Linked DNA regions of Tamandua tetradactyla. The protein of the gene in region 1 interacts with the protein of each later gene in a pairwise test. Links are inferred from orthologs where the notes say so. Each region holds a gene or a part of one and is shown in the gene's direction. Other genes may lie near its edges. The genes, in order: SSC5D, EXOC7 and SEC23IP.

Region 1 (3,745 bases):
GCAAAGAGGGCTCCCAAGAGTTAGGTCTTGAAGGCCTTCCTGGGAATGGGCTGGGGCTGCCAGTAGAGGGCATGCACTGGGAAGTGGGGCTCTGGGGCCGAGAGGTGGGTGCAGGGCTGCTGCGGGCCCCTGGGCAGAGGAGCTGGAGAGCTGAGAGGGCCAGGAGCCCCCGCCCGCCCCCGTTCCTCCAGACCCATCTGGTTTTTAAGGCATTTGTTAATAAAGCCTGAGATTGCTGTGCGTCTGTCCCTCTCTTTGATGCCTTTTCCAGTCTCTCTCTGATCCCCCCATCCCCCCTCCGTCTGGCTCCTCCCTTCCCCAAGTTGACATTAATTGGTGTGGGAGGGAGGGCCTGGGAGAAGGGGGTGATGAGCTCACAGCAGCCTCGGTCCGCCCTTCTGACTCACAAGCCCCATTACCGAATTTTTTCCGCCTCACAGCTGCTGGTGCAGAGAGCGGGTCTGAGTATATGAGTGAGAGCTAGAGAGTGGAGGGTGCTGCTCCCCCATCCAAGTCTTAACTCTCAGCCCTCCCGCCCCCTCCCATTTTTCTCATCCTCTGGGACCACTCAGACGGAGGGAGGGCTTTGCAGTCAGATTGACTGGGGGGGTAGAGTGGTTCTGTCTCCTTTCCTAATCCGGAAGTCCTTCCTGCTGTCTGGCTGTAAGCCCTCTCACTGTACCAGGAGCCCCACATGAACCCAGCCCCCAGCCCCAGTGGTTAATTTGAGTCAGAACTTGACCCCCCCGCTACCGTGGTCAGCCCACTCCTCCCTGGCTGGACAGGAGAGGGGGCAGGAGGAGGGTCTCTGTGCCGCCTCCACTTCCACCCCTGTCCTGTCCGTTCCCTGCAGTCCGCCGCCCCCGACATCCAGAGCCTGGCCCTGGCTTGGACACCCTCCCGTCCGCTGCTACCCCCCCCTCTTCCCTGCCTCAGCCCCCGCTGCTGCCTCCTTGCCTCCTCGGCAGCCTCTCTCTCCTCCTGGCAGCGCGTCCAGGCCCTGCCTGCCCCTCCCCAGTCCAGGCGCTTCCCTCCCTGTGACCGCTGCCGCCTCTCTCGCCCGTGCTCTCCCCCTTTCACCCCGTCCCCGCCCTGGACTCTGTCTGCAAGCATGAGGGTCTTGGCCTGCCTCGTCGGTGAGTGACCGTTCTCCCTGAGGACTCAGGGGCCCGGACCCCAGCCCTCCGACCCCTTGGCTCATCAACTTTAGAGGTTCAGGCTTCTGCGACCCCAGCCCTTGGTGCTTGGGGACATGAGGACAGCCCGTCCTCCCTGCCCACCACCCGAGCGCAGTCCCAGCCCCACCCTCTCAGGGTCCCAAGCGACATGCCCCTTTCCTCTTCCCCCACCCTGACCCTGTGCAGGGGTCACCCAGTGTCTGATCTTCAGCTGTCCCCATAGGGGAACACAAAGGACCTCAAGCCCCACCCATCTCAGGGCCTGCATGCAACCCCTGCCCGACCCCCAACCCCGTCCGCCTCTGCCCAGAGTCCTGCTTCCCGGCAGCGGGTTTCTGGTTAAGAAGCGTGGGAACTGGGTGTGCACGTGTGTGTGCACGCGTGCGTGCCAGGGCATGCAGGGCAAGGGACCTGTCCTGGAGACAGGGACCCCTGGAGGCACCCCTCACTCGGGCCCACCCACCCTCCCTTCCAGCCGCTCTGATGGGGATCCAGGCTGTCGGTGAGTTTCCGAGCCCCTCCCCCTGTGCCACCCCATGTCCCCAGAGCCCAAGGGCTGGTGCTCTGACCCCTGCGTCCTCCGCCTGGAGCCCAGGGGCCCTGCCTCTAGCCTGCTACGGGAGCCGGGGCCCCTCAGCACTGCCCTCCCAATCATCCCCTGAGTTTGCATCCACTTGTGACCAGTGCAGCCCCAGGGCCGGGGTGGGGGCCCTCCTGGGGTCCGAGCCTCTCCTCCGTCCCCCTGCAGAGCGGCTGCGCCTGGCCGACGGCCCCCACGGCTGTGCGGGGCGCCTGGAGGTGTGGCACGCGGGGCGCTGGGGCTCGGTGTGCGACGATGCCTGGGACCTGCGCGATGCTGCCGTGGCCTGCCGGGAGCTGGGCTGCGGGGGGGCGCTGGCCGCCCCCGGGGGCGCCTTCTTCGGGGAGGGCGAGGGTCCCGTGTGGCTGAGCGAGCTGGCCTGCCGGGGCAGCGAGGCGCGACTGGGCCTGTGCCCGCACCGCGGCTGGAAGGCACACATCTGCTCCCACGAGGAGGACGCGGGCGTCGTGTGCGCAGGTGAGGGGCTCGCAGGGGCCGGGAGGCCACCCCTCAGTGCCGGGCCCTCCTGGGGCTCAGGGACCCCCAGCTTACAGGGGCTCCTGAGCCCTCGAGGACCCAGACACGCGGGTCCAGCCCTATCCCTCTCCCCAGGACCCCAGTGACCTCCTACCCCCCACCCCGCGCCTTCAGGGCTTCTCTTGTGCCCCACAGGGCAGCGTGTGGCCGGCTCCAGGGACGACTCCACTTCCCTCTTGGCAGGGGACCCCTGGCCCGGGCCCTCTGGGGGTTTCAATCTGGTGTCTGAGGTGCCCCCTGAGACTCACGGTGAGGATGAGGCAGCCCGTGGCACCCCCAGCTCTCTCCCCCCTTTGAACTTGGGGTCCCTGGGTTCCCCATCCAAACTGCGGGGGGGGGGGGGTAGTCCTTGGGCAAGGCCACTGGGACCGTCTGCTGCCACCTGGAGCCTGGCCAGCACCGCCATTCCGGGGGACGGGAGAGCAGCCGCCCGGCACCCCCCTCATGGCTGTCTCTCTCCCAGCGCCCCGGCCGGCCGGGGATCCCCAGAGTGGCCTGCGGAAGAAGAGCCCCCGGCCCCCCAAGCAGGCCAAGTCCACCCGCGCCCCTTCGCTGGTGACCGGGGCCCCCCGTCACGGTGAGGCCCCCACCCCCACGCGATGCTGGGTGCACGCATCCTAGGCCCAGAGCCCAGACCAAGGGGAGCAGGGCCCCCTCTTCTCAGTCTGCTTCCCGGGATGCCCCTGCCCGCACCCCGGGGGTTCAGGGAGTCAGGCGCCGTCTCCCACTCACTCACCCCCACCCTCTGCCTGTCCCGGGACCCGGGTGTCCTGCCCCACCCAGTCGCTGCTCCCTCCCCCTAACAGGAGCCCCCATTCAGCTCAGGCCTCAGTTTCCCCAGGTGAAGGGCTTGAACCTGCGTGTCCCATGCTGTGCGCAGATGAGGCACCTCGTCCCCTCCCTGTCCCCCCTAGAGCGGCTGCGCCTGGTCTCGGGTCCCCACGGCTGCGCCGGGCGGCTGGAGGTGTGGCACGCGGGGCGCTGGGGGACGGTGTGTGACGATGGCTGGGACCTGCGCGATGCCACCGTGGCCTGCCGGGAGCTGGGCTGCGGGGGGGCGCTGGCCGCCCCGGGCGGTGCCCGGTTTGGCTACGGCTCAGGGCCCGTGTGGATGGATGACGTGGGGTGCGGCGGAGGAGAGCAGGCCCTACGTGACTGTCCCCGGAGTCCCTGGGGTCGGAGCAACTGTGACCACAGCGAGGACGCAGGGCTGGTCTGCACGGGTACGTGGGGCGGGGGCCACGGGCATACCTGAGGCTGTCCTCCCGCCTTCCCAAGGGCTTGGGTCCCAGCTCAGAATCATCACACCCCTCCTAGGGAGCGCTCCAGCCCCCCCGACTTCCCTGCAGTTACCGACAGCCTCCTGGAGGGAGCAAGGGTTTTGGAATTGGGCTCAGCTCTTGGCCCCGTCCCATGGCCTTGGCCAGTGACCCCGAGCCATGGTGTTCCC
Region 2 (3,745 bases), on another chromosome or scaffold:
CTCCCTCCAAGGGCATCTCTTGACCCTCGCCCCTGGAGCTGAGGTTAGACCAACTGGGACCACCTGGAGAACAGTCATGCCAGCCCCTAAGCCCATCTGATTTCCCCAAAGCCCCTTGAGACATGCTCACTGCCTATCCCAACACCTGCAGGCAAGGCTCAGTCTCTTTCTAGCTGGCCATGATGTGCTGAGGCCTGAATCCCTGACAGCTTCCGGTCCTGCCCCCCTTCCTCCTGTGGCCTCTCCTGGCCGAGGTAAGTTCTCAGCAGAAGCCACTCAGCCCCCCCAAAATAAAACCTCACAGCTCTCTCTCCCCACACGTGGGGCCTGGAGGACAGGCACCGGGGCCCCAAGAGAGATGCTCTGAGAATCCTGCCAGCCCCGTGTACTCGGCTGACCCCGGCACAAGGCCAGCTATGGTTGGGCACCCTCCTAGGACCAAGGGCAAGTGTCCTGTCCGGCCCCGGGCCTGGGTCCTGCACACAGGGCCTGCTCCATATGCTTTATCCTTAACGGAGGGCCGCACACACCAGCCCCGGTTTCGCTAAACGGGCACATATTGGGCGCCTGTCTTGTGGTGCACTCCGTATGCACTCAGTGCTGGAGCATGGACCCAGCGGCCATTTGTCAAATGGCACAGTGGCGGAGTTCTCGCCTGCCATGCTGGAGACCTGGGTTCGATTCCTGGTGCCTGCCCATGCAAAAAAAAAAAAAAAAAAAAAGTCAGTCTTCCAACCGGTAAACAAGCCGAGACCGCCCTGCAGCCACGGGCAGAATGACATCGGTCGAGTACCTTCTCCGCAGGGGGAGGGAACCCACACCAGGGGGAAAGGGCTGCGCTGGAGGAACGCCACCCTTCCCAGACACACCCAAGATGGCCGCTCGCCTTGGCCCGTTACTGAGCCTCGCGCAGGCGCATTGCCACCAGCCTCTCCCAACATGGCAGCACCGGCGCGGTGCCGGGGCGGGACTAAAGACGGAAGTGGGTGTGGCAGGGACGCGACCCCCGTGGGACTGTTGGGAAAGATACTGAGGAGCCGGGAGCCGCAGGGTTGGGAGCGATGATCCCCCCGCAGGAGGCGTCCGCTCGGCGGCGGGAGATCGAGGACAAACTGAAGCAGGTGGGCGATGGTGGGGAATCGGGGGAGGAGGTGGAGGGAAAGGGGCCGAGATCCGGGCCGGGCCCCTACGCCGGGAGGAGGCGCGGGTGGGAGGGGGTGTGAGGAGATGGGTTTCAGATGAGGGGCGAGGCTGGGGGTCCGAGGACGCAGTAATCTCCCTTAGCACGCAGGAATCTCCCTTAGCCTCCGGCCTCTGGTGATGTCCTTCCCTCCGCTCCCCGTAGGAGGAGGAGACGCTGTCCTTCATCAGAGACAGCCTGGAGAAGAGCGACCAGCTCACCAAGAACATGGTGAGAAAGTGTTCAGCCGGGAGGGGCGGAGGGGAGCCTTGCTACGGGAGGTGCCGGGTACCGAGGGCCTGGTTTGGAGTGGATAGTGATGGGTTTCTCTAGCAACGATATGGTGTCTCTTACCTCCCGCCCCTCCTCCAATTTCCGCCCCATCTCTGAGGACCCGGCAGCCCCCGCTGACTTGAACTTTCTGCTTTCTGTCTAGGCTCTCCATTCTTCCTTTTCTCTTGCCACATTTAGTGAGACTGAGTAGTCCTGGTCCTGGGTCATTCTTAACTCAAGACTGTCCCGGTAGGGGTGGCATTTTGAGATTACTTTGAGATTTGAAATTACTGAGAGCATAGAAGACTCAGCCTTCACCCCCAGAGGACTTTAGGGGTAGAAGGAGCGCTTACTCCACACAGTTGTGTGATTCCAGGCAGTTGACTCTGAGCTGTAGTTGACTTGTGTACTAAAACAGTGACAATGTCAACCTCTCAACGTGACTGCGAAGGTCATATGAATGGATGCATCTTGCACAGTGCCTGGTATACAATTGTGCTCAATAAATATTCGCTTCCTTGTTTACTCCTAGCTGAGATCGTTCGGGTAGAAGTTGAATAGAAACAAACGGATTTGCATTCGGTAACACAGTGATGAAGTCCTATTTCTTGCATAATGAGATTCCCCCTTTAGAGACAGGATTTTGAAGGTGCCAGCAAATGCTTTGAGGCTATTCTGTATGAAACAACTTCCTGTTCAGTCTAGGAAAACTTCAAAGAGACCAGAAGTTGAGATTTGGCTTCAAAGGGTAGAAGAGAAGTCATCCTGGAATGATTATCTTAGGAATTAACTTGATACTTAGCTTACCTTCAAACTGACCAATTTGCGGGGGACCACCTCTTAATTGCCAGGCCTATGCTAGATGTTGGGGAGGCAGGAGTGAACAGGTAGGCCCTGTCCCTCCTTCTTGGAGCTTATTGTCTAGAAAACAAGAGAAAAGGCAGGAATTGCCAAAGACCTGCTGATGAGAAGGAAGCAGAACTGGGACCACCCTAGAGCAGAGACTTTCTCCCAACAGGTGTCTATCCTGTCATCCTTTGAGAGCCGCCTTATGAAGCTGGAGAACTCCATCATCCCTGTGCACAAGCAGACAGAGAATCTGCAGCGGCTGCAGGAGAATGTGGAGAAGACCCTGTCCTGCCTAGATCATGTCATCAGCTACTACCATGTGGCCAGTGACACCGAGAAGATCATCAGGGAGGGGTGAGCCAGGGCCGGAGGGCCACATCCCTAATGCCTCCTGGACCACCAGCTCTGGGCCTCAGAAGGGAGGGGTAGGATGTATTTAGGTCTAGTGTTAATTCTCTTCTTCTTCTTCCAAACACCATGGCCTAATCCTTCCCCTCCACTGCTCCCCAGCATGATCAGGCTCCTTTTCTTCCCAGCCCCACAGGTAGGCTGGAGGAGTACCTGGGAAGCATGGCCAAGATCCAGAAGGCTGTGGAGTATTTCCAGGACAACAGCCCGGACAGCCCAGAGCTCAACAAAGTGGTAAGGGGCCAGCAGAGTAAAGGGAGAGGGCTGGGAAACATCCCTCCCTGGTCTCATAAGGAAATACCTGGCCAGCTTAAAAGAGTATACAGTATAATAAACAAAAACATCTAGTAGAATTCAGATTCTCCAGACACTAAGATCTCTGTCTCGGAAATTATAGGCTTACATTTTTATTCTGTTTTTGTAATTTGTTTAAAGTATATATGATATAAATTTTACATTTAGTTTTTATAAATGCATTTGCGGTTTTGTGTTTATATTTTGTGTGATGTCTTTGCGTCTAAGTATTGGGGTCATTAGGACACCAGAGCAGGGTGGGAGAAGGGTTAGAAGTGAGATTTACTCTGTGTTGAGAGAATGAGAGGCTGGAGACCAGAGGAAAGGTGGGAGAGGAGGCCCCGAGACCCAAGAAGGTGAGTGGGGCCAAGAGAGTAAGAGTATTAGGGGAGGGGCCATCTGGAACACAGTCTCCTGGTGTACCTTTCTGGTGACACTACAGGTCTCACTCTGAGGTGTGTGGCTTGCCCAAAAGAAGGCATGAGCTGAAGAACAGAGATGAGAAACTGTCTTTTCTCCTGACCAAAAACTTTTGCTGAGAGCAGTGCTTCCTGGCTTTTCCCCCATCATGGCATACATCAGAAATGAGAATATTTGTGTGGCACCTGGGGACAAACTGGAAACCAGACGGTGGTCCCCGGCCACCCAAGGGCCCACCTGGCTGCCTTGAAGGCTGATGGGATTGATACCTTGGCGCTCCTATAACCCAGTGGGGACCCACCAGCTCTACCTGGTATAAAC
Region 3 (3,745 bases), on another chromosome or scaffold:
GTTGAAGACCCTGAAGGTGGTGACAATGTCCTGGTTCATAGGCTGAATGAGGTGTTCTTAGACAAGTATTCCAAACACATCTGGGCCCGATGCTGTACAGGCTGTTGTGTGTCTCAAAGCAGACATATCTCAGACTTTGGTCCCTCACCCTGTTCCTGCTTGAGGTCCTCAAACAGGCTGCACACCTTTTTCCAGATGAGCAAAACACTTACGGACATATTCCACTGGTTCTGATCTTCTACCCACAGGCTCAGCATCTGCTCCATCACCAGGCAGCACTGCAGGTCAATGTGGCGACCTGTGAAGCTTGCCCATATTTTCTCCTTGTCCCAGATTGTGGTCACAGTGGAGGTGGACAGACCTAGAGCCTTCGTGATTTGGCTGAGCTTCTCACCGGCTCCAAAGAACCACAGCACTTACGGGCACTTAGAGGACTCCTGAGAGGCATCTTCAGGCCTGAGTTGGGGGAGACGGAGGCTCTGTCTTTGCCACTCTTTCTGCCTGTAGGTCTTCAGCCTCCTGGCAGCAAGGGTTGGCAGTGCTGTGAGCACTGGGCCTCCTGGACACTGTCTACCACATCTCTGAGTCCCGAGACGGGCTTCCACCCACAATGCCAAATCAAGGGTGGAGAAAATTATGGAACAAATCTCAAAAGCATATTTGTGTTCCTGCCCCTTGCCCACATTACGGCACCTACTGCCCCGCCCTGACCCATTGTAAAATGGGGAAACAACGTTTACTGGTGGGAAATACCAGCAAGCTTTAGTAAAACCTGTTAAAGATTTAAAAAAAAAAAAAAAAAGTCACATCCCTAAATTTCAATTATCTGGCTTTTGTTTTTAGATAACTTTTCTCCCTATGGCTTGAAAGTATAATTTTTTAAAACCATTTTTATTTATGGACTAAGGGCAAAGTTCAGTTCAGCCTAGAAGGCACCTGGGCAGGTTAGATGTGAGAGCGAAAAGGGCGTGTTTGGCTTGGCTTTGGTTGCGAACTGCCCGCACAACATTTTCCTGCCTCTCTCACTATCCACCGTCAGAGGGCTGACAGCAATTTGCCACCGGCTCCCGCGGGCATCCGCTGTTCCTCCAAAATCTTTCCCAAACAGCCCCCTCTGTACTTTAAGGAAGCCCAAAGTCTCCCCCGCTATCATGACTTACCACTCGCGCACTGTTTTAGTATCAGCAATGCTCACCCTCCCACTTTCCTACCCCAACTAGGGCCCACGGATTCCAGTCATCCCTGGCTAGCCGCTTAAGTCGTCCTCACGTGCAAAGACTCGGGCGTGGAACCGGAGCCTTCAGAACAAGCAAGTGTCGCCATGTTGATTTCTGGCGGGGGGGAGGATGTCAGCTGACCTGCCGCTAGTTGTTCCGGCCCTTGTGCGCAAGTGCGGAAATGTGCTGGCCCCTAGGGTGACCGGTTTCCGGCCGATGATGTTTCACCGGCTACCCGGAGACGTGTAACGGACGGTGGGCCGCAGCCATGGCCGAGAGGAAACCTAACGGCGGCGGTGGCGTCGCCTCCACCTCCTCATCGGGCACTAACTTACTCTTCTCTTCCTCGGCTACGGAGTTCAGCTTCAATGTGCCCTTCATCCCTGTCACCCAACCTGCCGCTGCCCCGGCCTCCCTGCTCTTGCCAGGAGGTAGTAAGGGGAGGGGATTCCGAGTTTATGCGGGGAAGCGAGCACGGGGCGTGGGGGTGACGAGGGCCAGACAGGCGGTCTTCTTTCTGATTTCTTTCTGACTCTAGGTAGCTTGCCAGGAGCATCAGTGGCCAGATTTGAGTGGATTGTTGGCTTTGGAATCTTGGAGGCGGGGGCCAGGTCCTGAGGTTTTCTCTTGATCTAATGAACCTCTGTTCCGAGTTGGCCAAAGTGCCGGATACTCGTGCATTGGCATTCCACAAATCTTTGTTATCACTTAACAGTGTGTCAGGCGCGATGCTGCTAGGTGTTAGCAGGGAATGCAGATAAATCAGACAGTGCCACTCGCCTAGGAGTTCACAGCCTAGAAGGGATACAGACACGTAATGTCTACAAAGTAGTGCTAAAGAATGAATTACTTATCTTCAAAACAGTGCATAACTTCCTATAAGAAACTTGTTCTATTAGGCCCCCACTCATATGTGCTCCCCTAGTTTTTTGTTCATATCTTTATTATTGTCTAGGGAGATTGCTTTATTTTTATTTATTTATTTATTTGTTTTATGGGGAAATTGTTTTTTAATGATTAGGTGGCATAACCATAGTATAATGTTTAGGACTTTGTCTGGGTTCCAGTCCTCAGGGATAACTTACCCTACTCAGGCATACTACTTTACATGTACATCCTCATAGCGTTATAATGAGAGGTGAATTTTTGTAAATCACTGAGAATAGTGCCTGTCACATAGTGTTATATAAGTGTGAAATAAACGTCTCATTTGGAATGTGGGCTTTTTGAAGTTTGCAGCTATGACTTGATTACCTTTTAATTTCCAGTATCTTGTTTGGTACCTACCATGTTGATACTCAGTAAATGCTGAGTCTACCAGTGAATTTATACTTGCTTGGAGGACTAGTGAAAGTTTCATGGAGAAATGAACAGAGGCATACTGGGGACAGCTATACACGAAGATTTCCCTTACCTTGCATTACGTTTCTTTAGTGCTTATCACCACCTAAGTGTATTTATTTGTTTATCTTATTACACTGGAATGTAAGCTCCATGAGGTCAGGGATTGAATTGTGTTCACTGTTATATCTCCAGTGCTCAGAGAGGTGATTGGCATGCAGTGACCAGTTACTTAATAAATATTGTTGATTGAATGAAAAGAATATAGTCAAGAATATGTATGTCACACTTTTATTATGTGATTGAAAGGTCAGGCATTGCCATCTTTGGTGAAGGACCAGATGGCTGGGGGAGGATGCAGGAATACATTAGGCCAAGCCTGGGGTTTTCATATCATTCTGCTTCACACATGTTGCCTTAGTTCATGGCCATCTTTGCTTGAGCTCTCCCTCTTCCATGTGCTCTCTCACTTGTGCTTTCTGGTATTCCGTTTGTGCTTGTCACTATCAGTACTGAACATTTTCATTTTCAAGTACTTGAACAGCTAGTATTAAAACTCTTGTTTCTTGCAGACAGAGTTTATTTTTTGGGAGTAAATTAAAAGTTTTTAGAACCACAATTCCAAATGAAGTATTTTTCTACCTCTAAGAAAGATTTCATAGTTAGAAACCCATTTAGAGAATTGCCAGAGACAAGAGAAGAACCTGTATCGTTGGAAGCAAGTTAATTCTATCAGTGAAATAGACTTGTAGGAGGCAATTTCATTCATTCATCAAGATGGATTAAATAGCTTCTATTTACTGGACCCTATGCAACATGTCAGGGACACAAAGAAGAGCAGATAGTCCTGCCCTCAATGACTGCACAGTAAATAAGTATATGTATATACCCAGCTGTGCAAACAATTGTGATACAAGTTTATAATGGGTAGAAAAGCCAGCCTGCTTTAAGTTACTGGTCTCAGGCTAGCTGACCAGGGAAAGGATGTCTTTTAGGCCTTCAGGACCTCACAGAGGAAGTGATGCTTGAACTGAGTATTGTAGGATACATAGAAATTAGGGGTCTGGAGAGACAGGCATATATAAAAGTCATGAGGTATGAGAAAACCAGCAGAATTGGTGAGAGTTGGTGGTGGGTGTCATGGGATGCTCTCTGTCTCTGTCTCCAAGTAGATCAGTGTGACTAGA

The links.
Region 2: the proteins of SSC5D (region 1) and EXOC7 interact in binary tests that used the Homo sapiens proteins (3 or more experiments, as listed by UniProt). The two-hybrid records come from large-scale screens. The link is inferred for Tamandua tetradactyla from reciprocal best matches to the Homo sapiens genes SSC5D and EXOC7.
Region 3: the proteins of SSC5D (region 1) and SEC23IP interact in binary tests that used the Homo sapiens proteins (3 or more experiments, as listed by UniProt). The two-hybrid records come from large-scale screens. The link is inferred for Tamandua tetradactyla from reciprocal best matches to the Homo sapiens genes SSC5D and SEC23IP.

Annotation. Positions count from the first base shown.
Region 1 is NC_135342.1:4,244,102-4,247,846, reverse strand, and holds the start of SSC5D (soluble scavenger receptor cysteine-rich domain-containing protein SSC5D), read left to right. Parts: upstream 1-1,034; 5' UTR 1,035-1,111; coding exon 1,112-1,136; intron 1,137-1,653; coding exon 1,654-1,680; intron 1,681-1,926; coding exon 1,927-2,235; intron 2,236-2,430; coding exon 2,431-2,544; intron 2,545-2,758; coding exon 2,759-2,872; intron 2,873-3,209; coding exon 3,210-3,518; intron 3,519-3,745.
Region 2 is NC_135332.1:16,546,848-16,550,592, reverse strand, and holds the start of EXOC7 (exocyst complex component 7), read left to right. Parts: upstream 1-909; 5' UTR 910-1,061; coding exon 1,062-1,121; intron 1,122-1,345; coding exon 1,346-1,411; intron 1,412-2,471; coding exon 2,472-2,656; intron 2,657-2,838; coding exon 2,839-2,944; intron 2,945-3,745. UniProt on the Homo sapiens protein: Component of the exocyst complex involved in the docking of exocytic vesicles with fusion sites on the plasma membrane.
Region 3 is NC_135339.1:82,424,002-82,427,746, forward strand, and holds the start of SEC23IP (SEC23-interacting protein), read left to right. Parts: upstream 1-1,395; 5' UTR 1,396-1,485; coding exon 1,486-1,648; intron 1,649-3,745. UniProt on the Homo sapiens protein: Plays a role in the organization of endoplasmic reticulum exit sites. Specifically binds to phosphatidylinositol 3-phosphate (PI(3)P), phosphatidylinositol 4-phosphate (PI(4)P) and phosphatidylinositol 5-phosphate (PI(5)P).